2 linked regions of the Lonchura striata genome follow. The protein of the gene in region 2 interacts with the protein of the main gene of each other region in a biochemical or structural test. Links are inferred from orthologs where the notes say so. Each region holds a gene or a part of one and is shown on either strand. Other genes may lie near its edges.

What was found.
Region 1: the proteins of LCAT (region 2) and APOA1 form a complex in vitro, tested with the Homo sapiens proteins (6 studies listed by BioGRID and IntAct, with this or other methods). The link is inferred for Lonchura striata from reciprocal best matches to the Homo sapiens genes LCAT and APOA1.

The regions. Positions count from the first base shown.
Region 1 is NC_134625.1:10,337,754-10,348,871, reverse strand, and holds APOA1 (apolipoprotein A-I), read right to left. Parts: upstream 4,326-11,118; 5' UTR 4,245-4,325; intron 4,135-4,244; 5' UTR 4,124-4,134; coding exon 4,081-4,123; intron 3,897-4,080; coding exon 3,743-3,896; intron 3,660-3,742; coding exon 3,062-3,659; 3' UTR 2,815-3,061; downstream 1-2,814. Other genes in the region: APOA4 (apolipoprotein A-IV), read right to left, coding at 112-160; APOC3 (apolipoprotein C-III), read left to right, coding at 1,840-1,897, 2,004-2,130, 2,282-2,378; serine/threonine-protein kinase SIK3, read right to left, coding at 7,222-7,379, 7,474-7,606, 8,244-8,407. UniProt on the Homo sapiens protein: Participates in the reverse transport of cholesterol from tissues to the liver for excretion by promoting cholesterol efflux from tissues and by acting as a cofactor for the lecithin cholesterol acyltransferase (LCAT).
Region 2 is NC_134615.1:16,805,990-16,818,859, forward strand, and holds LCAT (phosphatidylcholine-sterol acyltransferase), read left to right. Parts: upstream 1-6,797; 5' UTR 6,798-6,825; coding exon 6,826-6,973; intron 6,974-9,388; coding exon 9,389-9,545; intron 9,546-10,012; coding exon 10,013-10,128; intron 10,129-10,468; coding exon 10,469-10,564; intron 10,565-10,651; coding exon 10,652-10,876; intron 10,877-11,633; coding exon 11,634-12,256; 3' UTR 12,257-12,775; downstream 12,776-12,870. Other genes in the region: C-signal-like, read left to right, coding at 191-242, 448-635, 951-1,109, 1,467-1,586, 1,805-1,918. UniProt on the Homo sapiens protein: Central enzyme in the extracellular metabolism of plasma lipoproteins.

The sequences.
Region 1 (11,118 bases), on a different chromosome or scaffold from region 2:
GCACCGTCCCGGTCCCCAGGGACAGCGGGGACGTTCCCGTCACCGCCCCGGGCCGCAGCACCCCGCTGGCACCGGGCAGCCTCGCCCCACCTCACCGAGACCCCACCTCACCTGAGATCGCAAGGAGAACCAGGACAAGGGCGGCCGCCTTGGGCGCCATCCTGAGTGCTGGGGACTCCTGCGGGAGCACAGAGAGGTGAAGGAAGCCGCAGGGACCAGCAGCCCCCAGCCAAAGGCCAGGGAGACCCGGCTCCCTCCCGGCTCCCTCCCGGTTCCCTCCCGGCTCCCTCCAGCGCCTGCAGCCGCTCACCTGTGCTGCCAGTGCCGCGGTACCTGCCGAGCCGGCAGCTCCCAGCACTATTTATGCAGCCCGAGCGCTCCTGCAGCTTCCACGCAGGCTGTGACACAGCAAGGGCTTGGACTTTAGCACGATCACAACGTGGAGGCGCCTGACATCACCCGCGGCCCCGCCAGCCCCCAGGGTGTGACAGGGACACACGGGGTGGGGGTACCCGGGACACGCCGAGCCCCTCCTGGGGACAGGGACCCGGGCTGAGGGGACACCTCTGTTACGTGTATTTTGAATAATTCGGGCATATGAGAAAGAGACATATGAAATATATTAGAAACATTCCTGTAAGTTCTCTTAAGCACTCAGGCCGGGAAGACGAAGATTGCTTCACGGCATTTCGAAACCCAGCTGGCAGCAGGGAGAAAAGGATCTAATTTGCAAGCGAATAAATGTGGCTCGCAAGGAGATGGGCACCCAGATGATGAATGTTCGATAAATATCTCGGATTGAGATAGCCAGAGCCATCAAGAAAACTCACCTCAATGCCAAATTCCAGTAACTCCCCGAAGATCCCCGGGCTCGGCACTGACCTTTTGATTGTGGCCATCTCAGTCGCGAAATAAAAATCTATTTTATTAATTATTCAATTCAGCTTGATCATTTTTACCTATAACACCTGAGTGCTCTGTGGCTGCAGCAGTGGCTCTGTCAGTGCTGGCAGGGGTGTGGGATGGGGGCAACGCGACAGGACACGGGGCTGGGGATGCTGCAGGGCCCTCCCAGCTCTGCCACGGCTGGGCTGGGCAGCGGGGCAGGACACGGGCTCGGGGGCAGGACAAGGGCCCAGGGGGACACACGAGGCTGTGCAGGCACGATGGCATCGCTCCTGGAGGAAGGCCTGCCACAGGAAGGGGCCAGGACGCTGCAGGGCAGTGCAGCTGGGGATGCAGCTGGGACCCGTGCGTGTCCCCGGCCCGGGGACAGCGGCGATGTGTCACTGCGGGCAAAGGGCACGGCGGGCAGGGGCAGGGACCGGGCAGGCAGCGGCAGTGACAAGGTCCGAAGAGCTTCGCGGTGCCCGAGGGCGGCGTGCCCGGGGACAGGGCCGCTGGATGTCACCCTTGTGCCGTGCGTGCCCGGGCTGTCCCCTCCGCGGGCAGCGCGCTGGCTGCGCACACGCGTGTGCCCGCGGCCGCGCAGCTCCGTGCGCACACGCAGAGACACGCGGGGCCCCGGCGGCTCCGTCCCCCCGGCGGGCTCCGTCCCCCCGGCGGGCTCCGTCCCCCCGGGATTTCCCAACTCCTGGCCGGACGCGGCGCCCCTGCAGCCCCCCCCGCCCTGCCCCGACCTTTGCACGAATCCCCCAGCGCGGCCGTCGGGAGGGTATAAAGAGGGAGCCGGGGCTGCCCCCGCGCCATAGGCACAGGTGAGCCCGGCACAGGTGAGCGGGGACACCCCTGGCGAGGGCAGCGCGGGGCGGGGGGCGGGCACGGGACCCCCGTGCCCCCCTGCTGCCCCACATCGCGCGGTCCGCTCTCTCCCCAGCCATGAAGGCGTCGCTGCTGTTCCTGCTCGCCTGCACGGCCGTCCTGGCGGTGGGAGCAAGTAAGGGCCGGGGGCTGCGCAGGAGGGCTCGGGGTGCTGGGGGCACACGCGGGGGGCACAGCCGCGGGACCCCGTGCCCCCAGTGCCACCAGGCTCGTGCTCGCAGGGGCCGACTCGCCCGAGGAGCCGAAGGCGCTGGTGCAGAAGGTGCAGGAGCTGACCCAGAAAGCCACGGCCATGGCCAAGGACGCCTTCAGCAGGGTGCGGGAGTCGGAGGCGGCAAAGCAGGCCAGGTGCTCCCGAACCCCGCCAGCCCCGTCCCTGTCCCTGTGCCCCTCCCTGTGCCCGTCCCTGCCCCCGGTGCCGCCGGGGAGCCCGGCCAGGGCCCCGCGCTGACCCCCTCCCCTCCCCTCCCCTGCCCTCCCTCCCCTCCCTCCCCTGCAGGCAGTGGCTGTCGGACAACGCGGAGCTGGCGAAGCAGCGGCTGGCGTGGCTGAAGGAGCAGCTGGCGGAGCTGCTGAAGAAGACTCCGGCCGCGTAGCCTCACCGGGGGCTGCTCGGGGTCTGTCGGGGCCGGGGACCCCCCGGCTCCCCCCCGCTGTCGTGGTGCTCTCAATAAAGCAGGGCTGAGGCAAACGCTGCGGTGCCGTCTCTGGGGGCTGGCAGGGAGGAGTGTGACCCGCAGGGGGACCGGGCTGGGGCGGACGCGAGCACTGGGGTACACACGGCCGTGTTGGGGTGCTCGGGGTGACAGCAGCCGAGTGCTTGTTTCCAAAAACTCCTGCAAATTCAGTGCCACCATACCCCAGCGCCCTGTGTGGGGCTGAGCACGGCTGCACCTCGGGCAGAGCTGGACTCGGCGAGCCCAGGGCACCCCTCACCAGCTCCCTTGGGTCCCCACTCCCTCTGGTCCCCAGTACCCCCAGCTCAGAGCACCCCTTGCCCCCTCCAGCATCCACTGCAAAGACTGAGCGAGCTCCAATAACTTAAGTCAAGTTTATTTCTCAAAAGGGAGGCAAAGCTGAGAGCGACGCCGGGGTGGGGAGGCAATTCTAGGGGAAGAGGGGGTCTCCGGGGAGGGCACCCCAGGGCCGGGCCGGCCCGGGGCTCCTGCAGCCCGTCCCCAGAGCCCCCTGAGGAGAGGTGCCCGGGGCAGGGCAGGGAGCGCCCGGGGCGGCCGCGGAGCGGGGCTGGGGTCAGTCCCTGGCCGCGCCGGCCGGCAGCTCAGGCCACGGTCTTCTGGAGCTCCTCCAGCATGCTGAGGAAACGGGCCTTGAGGGTGTCGGTGTAGGGGGTGAGGCGCTCCTTGAAGTCCTGCACCAGGGGCGTTATCTTCTCGCGCAGGTTGCTGAGCTGCTCCACCAGCTTGGCCTGGTATTCAGCGGCCTGGGGGATGCCCTTCTCGCGGATCTCCTCCAGCTTCTGGCTCAGTTTCTGCCGCAGCTCATCGCTGAAGGGCGCCACGTTCTTGCGCAGCTCCTCGACGTGCCCGCGCAGACGGTCCCGCGCCTCCTCGGCCACCGGGGTCAGCTTCTGCTGCAGCAGCTCCACCTTCTGCTTGCTGAGCTCCTTCAGCTCCTGGGCGAGGGGTGCCAGGCGCTGGCGGTACTGCTCCAGATCCTCCGTCCACTTGGCAGCGAACTGGTCCAGGAAGGGCTTGATCTTCTCCTTCACCTCCTCCATGTCCTTGGTCAGCTCGGCGCGCAGGGACTCGGTGTCTTTCAGCCACATCTCCCGCACCTCTTTGTAGTAGGGGGCCATGTCCTCTTTCAGCTTGGCGGCGGCTGCGCCCAGCGTGTCGAGGTTCTCGCCCAGCTTCAGGCTGCGGGACGGGAGGGAGGGAGGGAGGTCACGCTCGGTGCCCGGGGCCCCCCGCCAGCCCCCCGCCGCACACCTCCCACTTACTCCAGCTGTTTGCCCACGGTGGAGGCCTCGAACTGGGCAATGGCTTCCTTGCCGCTGGCCTTCACTGTCTCCAGGTACACATCGACCATGTCCTTGAGGCGATCCAGGGGTGCCTGGGGATCATCGTGCTGCCAGAAGGAGCGGGCCTGGGTGCCTGCGGGGAGCGCCGGGTTTGCTCAGGACACGCCGCCCGGGGACGGCTCCAGCCCCGCCGGGAGGGGCCCGGGAGCCCCTCGGCTGCAGCGCGGCTCGCGAAGCGCCTCGGAAAGCGGCGGCTTCCAGCAGCGCCCGCGTCCCCATCCCGCCCGCGCTGCTGCATCCCTCCCGGCCGGACCTACCCGCCAGGCAGAGCAGGGCGAGGGTCAACACCGCGGCTCTCATCTTGGCTGGACCTGCGGGCAGAGCGAGAGAGTTGGGCGCGGGGAGCCCCGGCAGAGCCAGCCCCGGCGGGGCTGAGCCCGGCCCGGCTCCGGCGCTCCCGCCGAGCAGCCCGGGCTCTTACCGGCTCTCTCCACCGCTGCTGCTCGTCCCGTCTGAGCGGCCGGGCTCCGCCGCCGCTATTTATGCCGGAGGGGCAGTTCCGCGGAGATAAGCCAGCGGCGGCCGGGCCGCGCTCCCGGCGGGCGGTGTGGCCGCAGGGTTCAAGGATCGCGCAGCATCGCCGCGGAGCCGGGCTTGGCAGGGGTGGCGAGCAAACAGGAGCTCCCCGCGGGACGCGCCTCGCCGGCCAAGGAGCTGTTTACGCTCCCGGTGACCCAGATTCCCGCTGGCCTTGCCGGGGCCCCTCGCAGCCCCCAGGGATTGGCCGCCGGCCCGGGGACAAGGTTTATTCCCGCAGGGATTTGGCCTGCCGTACCCGGACCCCTCGCTCGGGCCGCGGGTCTGTGCCCCGTCCTTCACGGGGCCGCTCACGCCACCCCCTCTGCCCGCTGTGCCCCCAGCTCAGAGGCCCGGGGAGCTGCGCCCACGCCAGCCCTCGCCGGGGACCTGGGCAAGGCAAGGCTCAGCTCAGAGCAGCACCAGCACTGGCACGGCCGCCCCAAAACCCCGAGCCAACCCCGGGTGCAATTGTCACCAGTCCAGGGGTGCACAGGGCTGAGCCCAGCCTGGCAAGGGGAGAGAGGGGACAGGGAGAGAGAGGCCGCGTCCCCAGAGGGGCTGCAGGGGGTGTGCAGGGCTGGCAATGCCAGGGGGAGCTGCCACAGAGCAGTGATGCTCCTGGTTCTGGGTGGCACCGTCCCTGCAGCTCGTGCCAGCCCGCTGGGCATCGCAGGGGAGCTGCCACCGCAGGTGCTGCAGGTGCTGCGGGCACAGGCACAGCTCCCTGCGCCTCCCAGACCCTGCCCAAGGCTGGAAAAGCCCCAGTGCAGCAGTGCCCGGGCGGGCTCTGATCTGCAGCACTGCCGGGCTGCAGCTGCAGGGGCTGCCAGGGCCGGGGGGCTTCGGGAAACCCAGCCAGGGGCTGCCGGAGCCCGGGAAAGGGATGGATGGGACACAGCAGCGGCCGCCCCTTGACCTTTGGTGTTGAGCAACAAGGCAAACAAGAGCCCAGGGAAGATCATAATCATGGTTTTATTTGTTATGATCCCACTGTCCAACTAATTGACTAGTTGCAAGTGACCCACAAAAAATGGACTGAAGATTTACTGAAAATTTTTTTTTCCTGTTCGTTTTTAGTCCAACATAAATGAGGAAGAAAAAAAAAAAAATACTTCTGACATTTCCAAAAAACAGAAATAATAGCAAAGTATATTAATATACATTCAACATATACTGCGCGTATTGATTACTACAATACAAAGCCATGATAAAAAAAGTGTGATACTGCGGATGGCACGGTGACGCGGCCCCGCGGGGCAGCTGCTGCTGGGGGGGGCCCGGCGACTCTCCCAGGATACAGTGTCATGTAAACAAAAGGAAAATGAACCCAAGGGACAGAGCAAAAGGCTTTCAGCGCTTCCCAGCCTCCCCGCTCCATCCCGGAGGCTGCCGAGTCCCTCCTCTCCGATCCCGGGATCGCAGAGCCCTCAGCGTCCTTCTCCCGGAGAAGGGGAGGCCGGGAAGAGGCACGGGGTAAGGACAGCAAAGTCACCTCTGCCGTGCTGGTTTCACACTTCCTTCTGTGCAAAGTCAGGAGGGCTGGGTCGGTGTTTCCTTTAGTTTTAAAAAATATTCCGGAAAAAATGTCGCTGAGAAGGAGGATGTGAGCTGGAGCTCGTCGAGTCCCAAAGGCAAGGGTGACACCGCGTGCTCCTGAGCCCCAGCCGGGGGGGCCTCCCGCTCCATCCACCACGGAAAGGATGGAAAAGGGACAAAGAAGAGACCTCTGCATGTCCCGACTGTATAAGGAGAATTACCACTGTCGCCACTGGCACGAGAGAAAACCAGTCACAAGTACAATGTCATTAAAAGAAATAAAATACTTTGAACAAAAGGTGCAAGTCACAATTCATATAGAACAGAATCTAGTTAAAAATTTCTCTCAAACAGAAATTCCTTTTGCCTTTTATTAATAACAATAATAATAAAACAACATTTACCAAAAAAAAATAAAAATAAAAACAATTCCTACGTGATCAGGAGGAAAAGCGAAGGAAACAAAGAAAAATCCGTCTGCCCTATATTAGCCAGGAAAAGAAAAAACCCCAAGACGTGGCAGATTTGGAAAGAAAAGGGGAGGAAGGGCAGGGCAGGGGTGATGCTGTCAGCACCCCGACACACGAGAGGGAACAGAGCAGACAGAGGTGAGACAAGAAGTGGATTGCACCAGGGTGGGGAGGCACTGGCAGGCCCGGAGCCCCCCGGGCACAGGGACAGGGTGGAAGGAGAGCGTGGCCTCCGTCCAGGAGCAGCTCCAGCCCCCCAGACCTGCTCAGGGCAGGCTCCAGGGACGCTCAGCCCGGCGTGGGGCCCCGGGCAGGGCCAGCCCCCAGAGCAGCCCCAGCCCAGGCCGATCCTCCGTGTGGGGCTCGGGGCTCTGGGTGTAGCTGGAGTTACAGGCAAGTGTGGCAGAAATAAAGAACCCAAAGGAACGACACACTGGATGAAGTGAGGATGAGGAAAGGGGCCATGGTATTCCAGTTAGTCAGAAATACTACGGCAATTTGGCGCAATGCTGCTAGATACTGTTGGTTTAAAATGGACCTTTTCATTTCAAAGCTGTACACAAACCCTGCGAGAGAGAGAAAAGACAGGTGTTAGGGGACTCCACAATGGCACATTTCCTTCCACAGCCCTCTAGCATTCCCAGGCCATTCCTGACCCTGCCCCAGGAGAGAGACCCTGCCATGCAGAGGGGTCTGAGTGCAACACCAGCCTGGAAGGAGGGACAGCAAACAGCTTCAGCACAGGATCTCTGAGCGGATGGTCCCAGCCCCAGCACCGGAGCCAAGAGCAGGGAAGGTGACCCATGGGAGTGAGGCCCCAGGTGTGGTGTGGTGTGGCGAGAGAAGGACACAGGGATACTCACTCCCTCCTGGTTACACCCCTGCCTGCTCCATCCCAAAGGGCACCTCCGGGTGCTTGTAGCTCAGCAGGACGTCCGTGATACACGTGGAGGGGTAGCAGGAGGTGTTGAGGTGCTGGCTGCCATCGCCCAGGTTCGCGTGCTCCTGACCTTCCAAGCTCTCCCCGCATTCTGGAAGGGTGAAGAGGTGCCTGAGCACCTGTGGCTGTGACTCAGCTCCAGAGGAGCTGCCCCCAGCCCTGCCCCGTGGCAGCCCCGGGCTCACCCTCGCCGTCCCTGTCGCGCAGCTGCTGACTGGCCATCAGCGACGACTGGCTGAGCACGGCGTCCGACATCCGAGCAGAGCTGAGGGCTTTTCCTGCCATCAAACTCATTCCAGGCAAGTTATCCAGCTGCACCTGTGGAGGCAGCAGGACACGCTCAGGGGGAGCTCAGGATCCCGCTGCTCCCCATCTACCCAGAGAGCCTCTGCAAACCTTCAGCAAGGCTCTGGAAAGACAAGAACGGCACTGAATGGTCCAAATCCCTCTGAACTAACAGAATCACAGCATAGCTGGGGGTGGGAGGGAGATCAGGAGATCATCCAGCACAAAGCCCTGCCAAGCAGGGACACCGGGAGCAGGTGACAGAGAAACACATCTGGGTGGTTTTCAGATGTCTCCAGAGAGGGAGACTCCAGGCCCTACCCTGGGCAGCTGTTCCAGTGCTCTGCCACCCTCCATGGAAAGAAATCCTTCCTAATGCTGAGGTGGAACTTGTGATTTAGTTTCTGGTCATTGCTCCTCATCCTGTCACTGGGCACCACTGAACCAGTGAAGCTGACATCTACAGCAGAAGGGAGCTGTAGCAAGGCACACATCAAGATTTGGGCAGGACACTTCCCAGCACCCCAAACCCCCGAGGGCGCAGAGCACTGAGGTCTGGGCTACCACAGCCAGCTCCTCCACAGCCAGGCTGGGTGTGCCTGCAGAGCCCTGGGTGGCACAGCCAGGCCAGGCTGTGTCAGAGCAGGAGCTGGCAGGCAGAGGCACCTACGTAGGCATCGTCGCTGTTCTGGATGGTGTGATGTCTCTGCAGGCTGCGGGGCCGCGGGTGCTCGCTGGACGAGGGGCGCACGGGGTAGCCCAGGCCGTTGTGGTCAGGCACCTGCATGGCTTGGCCGGGGGAGCTCCTGTCCATGCAGTTCCCTACGATGGACTCTTGAGAGCCAGACAGGACAGAAAAGGGACAGGTTAGTACAAGGAACCTGCAGCCACCTGTGCCACTGCAGAACTGAGACCTGATGGCACACACAAATGCTCCTTGCTGGCAGAGCAGGGACAGGACCCCCGGCTGCACTCACACAGGCTTCTCCCTCCAGCTTCAATATCCCAAACGATCCCAATGCTAGCTGCCTTCCATCAGATCTACAAAACAGCCTTAAGCTGGAGGCACTGGGGCAGGAGCAGAGGAACCAGACCCTTTCCCACTTCTGCCTTCCCCTCGAGCCTGAGCTCGACCCCCACATCGTTACACAAGAGCTGGGGGAGCCTCCAACACGGGATGCTCCAGCAGGGCCCCTTGGCAATTGTAAGCAACAGAATCCTGCTGGAAGAGCTGGCCAGGATCTTCACTTTTATCAGATGACTTCTCCCTGCCCTCCCACAATCTGGCTGCGGGAGCACACGAGTGCTCTGCCTGGCAAAGTCCATCTGCACTGCAAGCTCTTGTGACTGAGGGCAAAGGCCACATTCCTATCAGGCAAAGCCTCTCATCATCAAGTACACGATGTTTTGGATAAAGTCCTGAGCCATGGAGGAGCTGTCACCAGGGCTGAGCTCGCTGAGCTCGGACCCTGCCGAGCACAAACGCCCGACGCGGCCGCGAGCGCCGGGGAGCTGCCCCGAGGTGACACAGCTGAGGTTCATCCCTCACAAAGCCACAGCTTTCCCAGGGCTTTGGCCAGTGGGAAGTGATGTCCTGCTGTGCTGGGACACTGCACAGCCCAGCTGGCACTGCAACTGCCACAAAACCACTCCCTGGAGGGATCTCACAGGACCCTGGAACACCCCCACGTGCACCCACAAGGATCATGCTTGCCCCTGCACAGAGCAGTCCCAAAATCTGTCCACAATCTAGCAGAATGCAAGTGAGACCCCATCCCATGTGGTCTCCACACTGCTCACAGCCAGCACATGGACAGCACAGCCAGCACGCTGCTCCCCAGGCTCTCCCTCCATCAGGAATGTGGCATTCCTGCCGGAGCCCTGTCCCAGGGCACTCAGAGGTGCAGCCTCCCCCTGCCTTTGCACAACCGTGGGGTTACGTGCGGTTAACAGTCAGCTTTCCCGGAAAAGCGAGAAGGAAAACATGAGGTAACAGATGTTAGCGGATCAGTGCCACCCACACACTGCTTGGGATGCTGCTCCAACTGTGGGAACAGTGGTTGGGGCCAGCAGCCTGCTGCTCCAACAGCCCCAGTCCCAGTCCCTGTGCTGCGGGTGACGAGTTCCCTCAGCCTGGAAGAGCCAGGGCCTGAAAAACAGCTGCTTCCCAATGCCAGCACTTCACCTCTGGGGATGCTGCTCTGGAGCAAGGGATGGACACCCCGAACTGACACCCCCAGGCCTGCAGGGGAGAGCCTTTCATGCCCACATCCTTTGTGTCACCGTGGCATGTGACGCTGGCACGGCCAGCCCGGCTCCCTCCGTGCCAGCCCAGGCAGGTTTCCCACGGGCAGCGCTCCCAGCCCGGGACGGCCACGCTGGAGCAGAACTGGAGCAGGGCTGCTCACAGGCAGCCCAGCCACATCCCAAACAGATCTGGTCGGCTCTCAAGTCCCCGGCTGCCATCCCTGGCAGATGCTCTGCAGCCTCCAGAGCTCTGTGATCAGCCTTGGGGGAGCACAGACACTCCCGAGGCACAGGGAAACTGCTCTGCTCCAGGGAAAACATCTGGGAGCTGAGGCAGGGAGGGAAGTCACCCTCAAACTGCACCCTCATGACACAGTCTAGGGAAAAGAGTGGGAAAAGCCAGGGATGTAGGATTTGGTGTGGGCAGCAGTGGGAAAACTGAGTGATGTAGGATTTGGTGTAGGTCAAAACCAGGAAAGCCCAGGGGTGTAGGAGTTGCTGTAGGTAAAGGCACCTGGGAAACTCTGAGGTGACTCTGCCTGCACCCAAAGCGGCGCAGGCCTGAGTCCAAGTGGGTTATGGAAGCCATAGGGAAGATGGTACAAACAGTTGCATCCCAGGACATAGTTTACTACAAACAGCCCTGTCAGAAGGGCTTACACAAGCCTATTTGTAAACATCTATTTGCTTTTACTCATTTACAAGGCTTTGCAGTCTAAAGTCCTTTTCCTTTGTGTAACCAGTCCTTGCAACAGCAGTGTGGGGGCTGAGATTTGGCTTCTGACTTCAGCAGACCTCACTGTCCATCTAACAGGCTTCAGTAACAAGATTCAGACTCGTGATTTCGTACCAACCCCCCTCCAGAGCTTCCAATCTCTGCTGAGCCTGGGACAATTCCCCCACTCCAAGCACAGCAGGGAAGCAGAGCTCTGAGAGCAAACAGAACTCAGAATTTAGGAGGATTTCAGCACAGCCCAGCCTTGTCCCTGCCCCCCGCCCACGCTCTGGGGGGTCAGGGCTTGGCAGCCCCGCTCAGCCCTCCGAGCCAGCCTGTTCCAGCCCAGTACTTTCCCAGCAAACCCGTGCTGTGTCCCTGAACAAAGCTGGGCTCCTGTGCCCTGGACACAGCTCCTCTGCAGCAGGGCCCGAGTGCCAAGGGCAGGCTGGTGGCTCCAGCCCAGCACCCCGAGTCCTGCAGGGAATACTGATCTGCCCACTCAGCCTCTGCTCAAAGCCCTCTTAGTGAGGGGCTTGGAGGGTGTTTTTCCTGCAGAGGAGCCTGTAATTACAGCCCAGGC
Region 2 (12,870 bases):
GTGGAGGGGACAGTGGTACTTGGTCATGGAGTCCTCCCAATCCGTCGGGTTCAGGGCAGCTGGAGCAAAGCATGGGGTCCATGGTAGTGCAGGGATAGAGCCAGATCAATGTGGGCTTTGCCTGGGGAAGGCTGAGCCTCTGCACAGCCCCTCCAGCCTCTCCATGCCTACACAGTGCCCTCTCTTTCAGGAGCTACAGAATTTGGCTTCCAAGCACCCCAACATCATCATCATCCCGCTCGGTAGGTGCCCCGAGGTGAGGATCCTTTGCCCCAGTTCCTCTGGCAAGTGCCCAGGCTGGGCACACCCCGGGAGCCCCGTGCTGGGCGGGAGCTGTGCCAACGGGCCGGTGCCGGCGGCGCCATCGGGCACTGCCACCTCCGGAGGAACAGAGGGGACTCCACCATGGGAACGCAGGCTCTGACCTCCCCTGTGTTGGCTCTGCAGAGGTCAGCGACCCCACCAGCATCAAGGCAGCTGCAGCCAAGGTTGGGGAGCACTTGGGGGGCTCTGGGCTGAACCTCCTCATCAACAATGCTGGAATTGCAAAGCCAAACTCCCTTGATAATGAGACACCAGAGGATATGATCCAGGTTTACACCACCAACACGGTTGGACCCCTGCTGATGGGCCAGGTGAGTCCCCAGCACTCCAGCACAGCTCCAGAATAATCCCTTCCCATGTCATCAAACTGGACATTACAGAGGGATGGAAGGACCAGTAGAGGGGCTCCTGTCAGTGCTCTGGTGCCCCGATGTGCTCTCAGTCGATGAGAAGCTCAGGGAGCCATGGGCTGGAGCTCAGGAACTGGAGCCAGCCAGGCTGGGGCACTGGGAAAGAGGAGGGAGGATGCCTCAGTGCTGGTGTCAGTGCTGCCCAGTGTGGAAGGAGCTTCTCCCCTGCCCTGTGCCATGTCCATGTGTGCTTCTGTCCCCTCTGTCTCCTCGCAGGCGTTTCTGCCCTTGCTGAAGAAGGCTGCCCAGGGGAGCCCAGGCTCAGAGCTGAGCTGCAGCAAGGCTGCCATCATCAACATGTCCAGCTATGCAGGCTCCATTGAGGACATGTATGTGTGGGATTTTGGACAAATTGTCTCGTACCGCTGCAGCAAGGTACTGCCAGATTTTACTGGGGGTGAGCCCAGACATTTTTCCTTGCAAATGATCACGCTGCCTTCCAGCCTCCCACTCAGGCTGTGCCCCTCTCTATGCTGTGGCTGATCTCCTGTCAGTCCCTGAGTGCCCATCACAGTTCAGTTTTGTGCCTGGCCCTGGGTCCTACCTCAGAGGGACACGATACAATGGGACTTCATCTAGGCTGGGCATCCACACAGGGATGGTGAGGGGGCATCGTGTACCCCAGGACGTGGCCCCCTCTGCCCAATTCCTGCCCCAGCTGTGGGGTCTGCACATGTTCCCTGGCAGCCCCCTTTCCCCTTCCACTGCTGTCTCCTCCCTGTCTCCCTACAGGCTGCTCTGAACATGCTGAGCAGGTGCCAGTCTCTGGCGTACAAGGAGCACGGCATCCTCTGCGTGGCTCTCCACCCCGGCTGGGTGCAAACTGACATGGGGGCCGGAGGCTCATATAAGGTGAGACATCTCCTGTCCATGGTCTGGGAGAACCTCATCCTTTAGGAATGGAGAATTTGCTGGGGTCTCATGCTGGGCTGTGTGAGAGCTCCTGGGCAGATACCCTGGAGGCACAGGAGGGAGGGAGATGACTGACTGGGAATGCTTCTTGCCCAGAGCAATGATGTGTTTCAGGGTAGGCCCCTGAGCACAGAATTGTTTCTCTCTCTGCCCCACAGCCTCCCCTGACAGTGGAAGACAGCGTGCAAGGGATGCTGAAGGTGCTGTCCTCCATCTCTGAGAAGGAGACTGGGGCTTTTCTGGACTGGGAAGGGAAGGTCATGCCCTGGTGAGGCGCTGATCCAGGATTCTGACTGTGAGGACTTTTGCTGCTGCACCATGTTCTACCTGTCCCTTAGTAAATGACTGTCCACAAACAATAAGTAGCACTGTGTGAGCCTCCTTCCCTTGATCTTCTACTGACTATCACTGAGAGAGTCCTCACTGGTGCTTTGAGAGTTCTCAGTTATTTCTGCATATCATTGAGCTAGGTTGGTCTGAACATTTGTTCTTGTTTAACTGGGGACCTGGACACCATCCTGATAGGAATTTGTCCCTGGGCTCACCCCAGAGGTGTCTCTCAGAATGGCAGCACCACCCTACAATGCCTCAGGCACTCCTCCCAGCGAATCCTTTCTCGTTTGTCAGTTCAAAGTCCAAGCAGAGCACTGCTCATCATTAGCTCCTCTACCACACAGGTAAGGAAGCAAAACCTGACATGATCTTTCTGGCTTGCTTATGCCCTGCTGTGTTCCTCCAGCACAGATCAAGATAGCCAAAAACACCCATGAAGACAAGGTCCTCAAATGGGAAATCTGTAAGTGTATGCTTGAGCCCTCTCAGGGATGGGAACCTATTCTGTGTTCCTGTTAAATCCTGTCTGTACCTCTCTTCTTGGCAGCTCTGCTCCCTGTTCCAAGCTGGTCTGTGGAGGCAGGACAGGCTCTTGGTGTTGTATAAATTCCATGGGGCACACGTGGCACTGGAGGCTCTGTGATGAGCAGAGGTGCCCACAGGTCCTCTGGGACTCACCATGGGGCTGATGGGGTCCAAGGGGACACCAGGGATCCCCCACTGTATGTCCTGTGGTGCATGGAGGGATGGGGAGGAGGCAGCAGTGGGATGGTCCCCAGGGGACTCTGGGCTGCCTTGGATGTGGAGCAGGGAGCTCTCACCCCCACTGAGCCCAACCTGCACCAGGGCCAGGAGCAGCAAATGCACCTCTGGAGTTACCAAAGTGCAGTTCTGAAGGCATGAAGCTGGGGAGGAAACACGAAGGATCATCATCAGGCAGGGGAGTGGCAGTGGAACCCTGGGGATGCTGGATAACAGGCCAGGGACATTCTGGATTACACAGACCTCCCTTCTGTTATCCTTCCCACAGCACCACTCAGCTCCCCATGGAGATCTTTGTGCCATTTGTTGCATTTTTAGCTGAATTCCCTCAAATTTGTTGTATCGCACAGGACGCTAAAATTAATTAATTAATTCCTCACCTCTTGTACCACTTAGATTTAGCTGAAATTATTCTAACCCCGACTTTGCTGTACTGTAGGATGATGGCCCCACTGCACGAGGCTGTCCTTTGCAGCAGTCTCATTTCCTGGGTGCCATGCCAGCACTGCCAGTGATTTGCACAATTTAGGGCCCCACTCCAGATTGCCAAGGCTCTGAGCAGCAGCACCCGAGTCCATCTGTAGCCTCCTTAATTAAACTGATTTGTCGGCCAGGCTGTGCTGGGTGTCCCTGCCGTGGGAGGGGACAGCGTGGGGACTTTGCTGGCAGCAGGAGCTGCTCTGCTGTGATCATACAGGGCTCAGTACTCTGCGCTGTGGCCGCAGCAACCTCGGTTTGAATCCGAGTCACAGCAGCTTTTGTCCAGAGCCGGTGGTCCGAGAGGGACCAGACTCACACCGACAATGATTTCCTGACCTGCAGTCACTGTGCAGGGTCTTCCCAGTGAGGCTGCAATGACATTTCTGGGAAAGCGCTCCAGCTTCTCCATTTTCTAGGCAAACTTGAGAATTTAGAGGAATTTGCTCAGCCTTGCACGTTCTGCTTCATCACAGTTTTGCAGAAAGAGGACCAGAAGTAGCTGTGGGGGCCCTGCAGAGTGAGAGGAGGGGGAGGCAGCAGCTTGCTCAGCTCCCGGCTCCCAGGTATGAAGGGTCTGCCACAGCAGAAGAAGGAAGATTACCAGATGAAAGTCCTACTGCTAGCACTCCCTGCTCCAGGAGAGCAGGATTTTGGTTGCAGGACCTCCAGGGATGGAGCAGAAGCAAAACCCACCCAGAAGTGAGGGATGACCCTGACAAAATGTAGGTCTGGGAACCCGAGGTCTCACGGGCACCAAGAAGCAGATGGAGATCTCTGGGTGCACCAAGAGATGCTTCAGCCTGGGGAAGCCTCTTAAACTGCTGCCTTTACCCTTCTGGAGCCTTAATGGAGTTCCCCCGTTTGCTTGGACTTGGTGCCCTCTCCTGACAGCCGCCAGAACTCACTCTGGTGGCAGCTTTCCAAGGAGGATTTACACGAGGTGCGGCGCAGGCTGCTGGCGGCGGAGGCACCGCCCAAGCAGAGGGTCTCAGCCCACCGCCCCGGGGCTCCTGCGAGCAGCAGGACGCTGCAGAACTCAGGCAGATGGGTTCATGCGTCTGCAGGGCTGCTGCTTGGGAAAAGGAGAGGGTGGGTTTCTTTTTTTCCTAGCACAAAATAGATTTATTTTCTTTCGTATCTTATCGAGAGTAAGAAATTTAAGGAAAAAAAAAAATCATTACACATTTACTTTTAGGATTTGCAGTTTATAGGTCACTTACTTGTGTGACTTCACACTCCTCCAACATCCATTTACTGAAAATATATATCTCTTTACTTAGGGAAAGCTCAAAAAGCATGTCCCTTCTAAAGATAAAATAGGAGGAAGAGAAGGCAAACATCTGGAGAAGTCGCTCATTAGCAGCAGCAGTGCCTGCCCCACTTTTACCCAAGGAAATACATAACTTCTCATTCCTCTTTTATTTTTTTTTTTCCACAGAAAGTCAGTGTGATGTGTAAGGCCACTAAACTTACCTGAAAAATAATTTACTGTGCTTGAACAACTGATGTATGCTCAAGTTGAAAAACATTTTAAAAATTTGCTAAGGACAGGGAGTATTTTTCATCCAAAATTGCTTGAATTTCTGTTAAAAGAGTTTCTATTTTGCAAAAATTTCCTGAAGTGTCTATACACCTACAGCACTGTCCAGGGTTTGACTGAGACAGTGTGGTTGCCCCACAGGTCACTGCAGCCTCTTCTCTCACAGGAGCTGTATTCCCTTAAAGTGGCGCAGGGCTCTGCTGGGAAATTTCTGCTCATCATGCTCCCAGTGAAAAAAGGGTGTCCTGATGTTCAGCTGGAGCCTCCTGTGCTCCAGTGTGTGCCCATGGCCCCGGCCCTGAGCACCATGAACAGAGCCTGGCTTCCCTCCCACGAGAGATGCTCCAGTGCCTTCAGTATCTTCATGGAGATTGTCAAGCAGAAAAAAAAACAGCTGCCAGCAGGAACCCAAACGTTAACAACACTGCCTGACGTCGCTTGGGGAAGGAACCCGAGCACTGAGGGAGGGAGCAGCGGAAAGCAAAATTCCCTGCACCAGTTGCCCCGGGAAGGACCGACCTGGGCAGGACGCGATGCCGCCCCTGCCCATGGGCTCCTAAAGGATAAAGCCACCGCCTGAACAGGGGCTTGAACCCTGGACCCTCAGATTAAAAGTCTGATGCTCTCCCAGCTGAGCTATCCAGGCTCACATTTGGGCAGGGGGTGCAGGTCTGTCATAGGTGGGGCACCCCGCTCTCCTCAGCTTGCAGGGACAATGCGGGCACCCTCTCTGCTATTCCCCGCTCCCCCAACGAGGCTCCCAGCGCAGGCCAGACTGAACCCGGGCTCTGGGAATGTCCCTGGGCGCTGAGCGGGCACAGGGATGCGCCCTGGGAAGATGCCGCTGCCGCAGGGATGCGGGGCAGGGAGAGGAGCAGGAGCTGCGGGAGCGGCTGTGAAACCTCCCCGCTCCCCGAGGGAGGCAGGAGGGCCCCGCGGGGACGGGAGAGCGGCGGCTGCGGCCGGTCGGGCTCCGAGCTCTGCTCTGGGGCTGCGGCAGCCTCGGCTCCATCGAGCCCCAGCGGCGCTTTGCAGGAGCCGCGTTAGAGCGGAGCGAGGGAGGCTGCGGGAGCCGGGCCACCGGGACACGGAGCCGTGGGGCACCTACAGCTGCCACCCACATACTCCACTGCCCTTCCTCCCCATTCCTCAGGAAGGGCCCTTTTGCTCTATAGGGAGCCCACCCTGTCAGCCAGCCCACCCACCAGTGCCCTATAGCATCCCTGTCCCACGTCACACTTCCTGGGAGAAGAAGACAATCTTCCCTTCAGCAGGACAATATGATTTTGCCCCATCCTTTCAAGTGTTCAAGGCCACACTGGATAGGGCTTGGAGCATCCTGGTCTAGTGGGAGGTGTTCAAATCCCATGGCAGGGGTTTGAAATGAGATGATCTTTAAGGTCCCTTCCAGCCAGAGCATGAACCCAGTGCAGGCTGGAGCTGCAGGGACTTCCCCCAGCTGGGACTGTCACTGGGGCCTTCCAGTGGATACTGGGAGGATGCTGCACGGGGTAGGGGCAGTGCCCAGGATGGCACTGGGGAACGTGGCACTGCCATGTGTCACAAAGAGCTGCCCAGATGTGTTCTTTTCCTATCCCAACCCCTCCATCTTCTCCCAGATACCTGGGGCCACCTGGCCATGCTGGCAGCACCATCATCCTCGGCCAGGGGCAGGAGGAGTGGAGAGAGGCTGTGTTCACCAAGGCAGGGAGTGAGCATTACCCCTAGAGAACCATAGAGGGGCAAGAACGTGGCAGCCACCTCCCCAGAACATGGCAAAGGGACACTGAGGCACTGGGAAGCTGCTCAAGCTGAGTGCAGCACCCCTGAGCAGGGTTCTCGGGGCCCTAAGAACCCCCTGGCGCTGCTGCACTGGTTTTGACAGGCCATGGTTTGTCCATAAGGCCAGTCCTTCGTCCCTCCCCGTCCCTCCTCCTCCTCGTGGCCAGCCCCTTGCAGCTCTCCCCTCCCCTGCAGCCCGGGTGCCTCTTGGCCGGACCTGTGTAGAAATTATAAAAGGCTGCTTGGCTCGGAGCCGTGCGGAGGAGCCCGGCCGAGCCTGCCATGGGGAGCAGCGGCGCCGGGGCTGCGCTGCTGACGCTGTCGCTGCTCCTGCAGCCCACGTCCCAGTTCTGGCTCTTCAATGTCCTCTTCCCACCCACCACCACGCCAGAAGCTCCCCCGACGAACAGCACGCCGCCCGTGGTGCTGGGTAAGGTCGCGCAGCGCGGGCACCGTGCGGGCCGTGGGTGGCAGCTCTGGCTGCCATGCAGCCCCCAGGACACACAGGGAGCCGGGGCTCCCGTGCCACTGGTGGCTCAGTGGGGTCTGGCTGAGATGGGTTTTACCTGTCTGGGTTGGAGCCACCAAGTGAGGGTGTCACACAGCTCCTCATCCCACACCATCCACTGGGATAGGGACACAGGGCTGGCCATGCCCAGGTAGAGCTTTTTGGAGCTGAGGGGATAGACTGGGCGCCCCAGAAAGCAAATGGGTCTCTGGTATCTCACAGCTGGCCCATGGAATGTTTTAGGGCTTGTTTGTGTCTGGGGAACTCAGAGGGACAGGGGCTGCAGCACAACCTCTTCTGCCGCTTCCCAAACAAGCTGCCATTGGTGCTGGGGATGGACCCACCATCTCTCACTTTCCTGAAGCCCACCCCGTCCTGTGTCTTTTTCCACTCCTGGGAGACAGCAGTCGTCCTCTGCTGCTGCAGAAAAGGAGCCATCTCACATCCCATCCAATACGAACTCTGACCTGGGGCAAGCCAGCAGGAGAGGGGCACAGGGAGATTAATGGAGATGTGGGGGCATCATCTCAAGAAGGAAGCAGCCACCATCAGCAGGTGCCTCCGTGCTGCATGGTTCTGCCTTCCTTTGCCCCTGTGCCATCACCAGGCACTTGAGCTCAGGTTTTGCCAAGAAAACTGCTGAGCAGTTGGGGTTTTCCTCCCTTTTCTTGAATCATGATGAGTTTCCCCTTAAAAAAAGAGAAGAGAAAAAGCAGAAGATCCCTCCCTGCTGCAATGCCAAGGGCTGACCCTGTAAACTCCCTTCCCAGAGGCATCAGGGGGCACGGGCCTCCATGTCCTGGGGTGGTCAGAAGACCCGGCTCACTGTCACCACGTGCCTCTATTCAGGATTACCTGTGACAGTCTGGGCATCTCCTTTTGTCCCTGGTGCCAGCCTCAGGCCGTGTCCCACGCCCGGGTGCCCCTTGTGCCACTTGGCTGTGCTTCATTCCACTCAGCATCCACAGTCAACCCATCCCCCTGGGCCGGGCGTCCCGGAAACCCCCAGTGCCCTTGGGACCACTGATAACCCCTCTGCCCTCACAGAACTCCCTTAATAATTACCTAATGTCCTCTGGGAGGGGAGGCAGAGCTCAGAGTTGTGTGCCAGGGGCTGGGGGGTGCTGGCTGTGCACCTTCAGGAGCCTCCAGAGCAGCTCTTGATCCTGTTCCTCTTGCTGACCATCCCTTTGCCTACTCCCTATCAGGGCTCCCCTACATCTGTCTGATCCCCACCCAGGTGCTTTGAAGACAGGATTAGACCCTCCCTGCACCCCTAGGGATGTGCCACAGCATGAAGGAGCTGTGAGGCAGGTTGAGGAAGGTAACTGCTACATCTTCCCCTCTTGCATGGCACAGGGCATTGAAGGTCCACACCAGCCCCAGCCATGTATTGCAGGCAAGTCCTTGGACCTGCTGGGGCCTTGGGATTTGTCACCTGGTGCTCCCATTCCACCAGGTTCAGTGTCCTCTGCAGTCATTCACCTCTTGTCCTCACCGTCACAGTCAGTGCTGGCACCAGCAGCTGGCTCTTGGCTCGGGCACTCGGCTGGGGAAGCTCTCCTTAGTGTCTGAGCCCAGCACAGGCACATCCCTCAGGGCAGCAGCAGGACGGGTGTCCCATCCCTGCTGGGGCCACACTGATGCTCCCACAGGCAGATCAAACGCCCTGGTGTCTGTCACCTTCCACTGAGGCTGGCCAGGGCACAAAAATGAACTTGCTTAAAGCTGTGCTGTGTTTCCTGCACACACCATTTCCAGTGAATTTCTGCTGAGTTGAGTTCCACTCAGCACTGAACCACTTCAGAGACCTTGTTCAGGCTGTATGGAGGGTTTAAAGTTCAGGAAACTCTCCCTGGGAGCTCTGAATCCCTGAACTGACCACTACCCCCAGACAAGCTGTCAGGACTGCATTAGGAATGGGCAGCCCCAAGCAGCACCAATTTCTTCCCCCAGGTTGCAGCAAGGAGAGGAAGGTGAGAACCCATCCAGGGAGGGGGAGCAGTCTAGGATGCTTTGTGCTGCTGGGGACTCACATGTTTGAGCCAAAGGTGACAGCTCTGGGGGTCATCCCATGGAAATGCAGCTCTAGGGGTTCCCAAGGATGCATTTTAGCACTTTTCATGCTCACCCAGCATCTCAGCTCCAAGCATCCTCTCTCCTGTGAGGAGCAGGTGGTTCTCCAGGGATGCTGCTCCAGCAGGTGCCCTGCCATCCCCAGGCAACCCCAGGGGAGCACTGCCTGGGGGGTGGGGTAAGCACCAGGTTGGGCAGCTCCACAGGGTCAGTGGGAGAGGGTTTGTAACTGGCTCTGCTCTCCCTCTGTGGTGCCTCCAGTGCCGGGGTGTCTGGGGAACCAGCTGGAAGCAAAGCTGGACAAGCCAGATGTGGTGAACTGGATGTGCTACCGAAAAACAGAGGATTATTTCACCATCTGGCTCAACCTCAACACCTTCCTGCCAGTGGGAGTTGACTGCTGGATCGATAACACCAGGTACCATCCAACTCTACCCTGGGAGCTCCCTGGGGAAACGACCTACCAAGGATCTCCCTCCCCTCTCCTCCCCCTGGCTATTATCTAGCACACAGGGAAAAAAAATGGGAGGACCATGGGATTGTTTGGGAACACAAGTGACTGGCTACTGCTCTGAGCATCTGTCCCTTTCCCAAATCCTTGCCATGTGCTCAAGCCCAGCCAGAGCACCCTGAGCACTCACTGGAGATGCTGCCACCCTGCCTGGGGCTGTAGGGTGAGGGGGCTGTGGCAGCTGGTTCCATCAGAGCGTCCTGTCCCAGGATGTCAGGAGAGCAGAAGGGACTCTGGCTGGGCTCCAGTGCACCTCACATCCACACAAGGCTTGGGAACAGCCAGGTCCAAGCCACTGCCAGTGATCTCCATCCCAGCCCTGTGTTCTCCATGGGGACATGGCTCTTCTGCCACTTCCTGTCCTGTCCCCACAGGGTGGTGTACAACCGAACCTCTCGGAAGATGTCCAATGCCCCAGGGGTGCACATCCGTGTTCCTGGCTTTGGCAAGACCTATTCTGTGGAATACCTGGATCAGAGCAAGCTGGCAGGTGAGAGGAGGAGAGGCCAGGGTGTCTGGGGATCCCATGTGCTCCCTGCAAATGGGGAGGTGTCCCCATGTCTCCAGCAGGGACGGGTTCTGCAGAGAGCTCAGGGCACTGGGGATTAAGGACATTAGCCTGGGGGACACACTCCAGCTGAGTGCTGGCAGGGAGCACCCCATCCTTGACCCAGGACTCCGTGCGATGCGCAGAGTCACGACATCTGGCTGGAGCCACTGAGCCACAGGGCTTACCAGGGAACATTTTGACCCTGACCAGGACCAGAATGGAAAAAGCTTCATGAGAGAAGACCACAGACCTAATTCCCACTTGTTCCCTCTGCCCACAGGCTACCTGCACACCATGGTGCAGAACCTGGTGAACAACGGCTACGTGAGGGACAAGACGGTCCGGGCAGCCCCCTACGACTGGAGGGTTGGACCCCGTAAGTCTGGGGGTTGTGGCCAGGCTCCCCATGCACAGAGGGAAGCAGGATGACCCTCATGCCATCATGCTCCCCTCTTGTCCGCAGAGGAGCAGCCCGAATACTTCCAGAACCTGAAGGCGCTGATCGAGGAGATGCACGATGAGTACCAGAGACCCGTCTTCCTCATTGCACACAGCATGGGCAACCTGCACATCCTCTACTTCCTGCTGCAGCAGACACAGGCCTGGAAGGATCAGTACATTGGGGGGTTCATTTCCCTGGCTGCCCCCTGGGGAGGCTCTGTCAAGCCCCTGCGTATCCTGGCATCCGGTGGGTGACTCCTCGTGTGCAGCCACCTCTTTGTTTTCTTTCCCTCCTGTAGAAATGGGAGGGTGGTAGTGGGCAGGGAAAGGGCACAGTGGTGAAAGAGGTGGGGGACCCAGTTCCTGTTTAGGCTCTTTGCAGCCCAGAAAGCCACAATCACTTGCCTAATGCTGACAGCCCAGAATATCTACAAGTCACAAGTCCAAAAACACATGAGATTAAAAATCATGTGCTTGAATGTTTTAACATCTGGCCCCTTGCATCACCCTTAAGTCACCTGCTAATATTTTTCTCTGTTGCCACAAGAGCCAGAGATATATTTAAGGTCATCTGTGGTCATTCCATGGTCTTAGGACTCCAGACATACCAAAAACTATCAAGGCTTGAAGGAAACGTGCAAGTTGGCCACTTATTACTGCTTACTCCTGTCCCTGCAGGCAGGTGAGGCAGTGCCAGGGTTGCAGGGAATGTTCAGGGCTGGGTTGGTCTGTGCCATCACACATCCGGGCTTGTCTCCACTCAGGCCCTTTGAGCAGATAGAGATGTGGAGAGAAGTGTTTGGAAGGCTGTTCTTGATACCTGCAGACAGCGGGGTAAGGAGAGGACGTAAGGTTATGGGCAGGGGAAGAGCTGAGCTGGAGCAGGCCAGGGCACAGTGGTGAGTCACTGTGGGGAGCGCTGATCCCAGCCCAGCTGCCCAAAGGCTCTGTCTGTGTGGGGACATGGCGGTGCCATTTGTGATGAGCCCTTGCGTGTCCCGCAGGTGACGAGCAGGGCATCCCTCTCATGTCCAACATCAAGCTCCGTGAAGAGCAGCGCATGACCACCACCAGCCCCTGGATGTTCCCCACCACCCTGGCCTGGCCCGAGAGCCACGTTTTCATCTCCACACCCTCCTACAACTACACCTACCGCGACTACCAGCGTTTCTTCACTGACGTCAACCTGGAGGATGGCTGGTACATGTGGGAGGACATGAAGGATTTGTTGAAGGATTTGCCCCCGCCTGGGGTGGACATGTATTGCCTCTATGGCACAGGCTTTCCCACCGCAGAGACTTACATTTATGATGAGCGTTTCCCTTATGAGGACCCCGTGAAAATAATTTATGGCGATGGGGACAACAGTGTCAACACGCGCAGCTTGGAGCTGTGCAAGCGATGGCGTGACCAGCAAAAGCAGAAGGTGTTTGTCCAGGAGCTGCGAGGTGCCCACCACTTCAACATGGTCTTCAGCAACCTGACACTCAGTTATATCAACGAAATCCTGCTGGGGAGCAAAGAGGAGCAGGGGGAGCCAGGGCAGGCGAGATCCAGCCTAGAGGCTGGGAAGTTGGGGAAGATCCTACGTGAACACAGGGTCCATAAGGAGCCGAAAAAGAACTGAAAGGAGGGAGGGCCAGCTTCCCTCCATGATGGTAGGCACCACAAAGTGCCATGCAGGGGAGCAAAGGACTTGGAGCTGAGTTTGGAAGGAAAGTGAGCAAGACCAACAGCTCGGGTGGATGGGCTGGCACCCACTTCCACACTGATTGGTTCTTCTTTTGGGAATGGTGATTAATTTTACTTGAGAGGCTTGTCACTTCCCACCAGCGGGTGGATAATTAACCATGCTGCCAGCTCATTAACATTACACTTGTGAATTCCAGTGTACACACAAGCCCTTGTCGTTAGCAAGCCATTTTTAGGTACTGTAGAGGCTGTGGACCTGTGGTGCTGTAGCTTCTGCTCACCTGGGACAGAGCAACTCACATAAGAAGAGCAGGCTCTGACTTACCAGGTGGTCACAGAGGTAGCATGGGGGTAGCACAGTAGATATGGCTTACAGAGCAACGAGCTAGGCTCCTTGGGCAGGACCAACTCAAAATCAGCAGATTTACAAAATAATAAACACATTTTGCTTCTATATTCTGAGCCTGCCTTGTCCTTCAGAGCCGGATGGTGAAGCCAGCCATGACCAGAAAGTGAGGTGCTTGCTGCCTGCAGGCACTCCAGAAGACA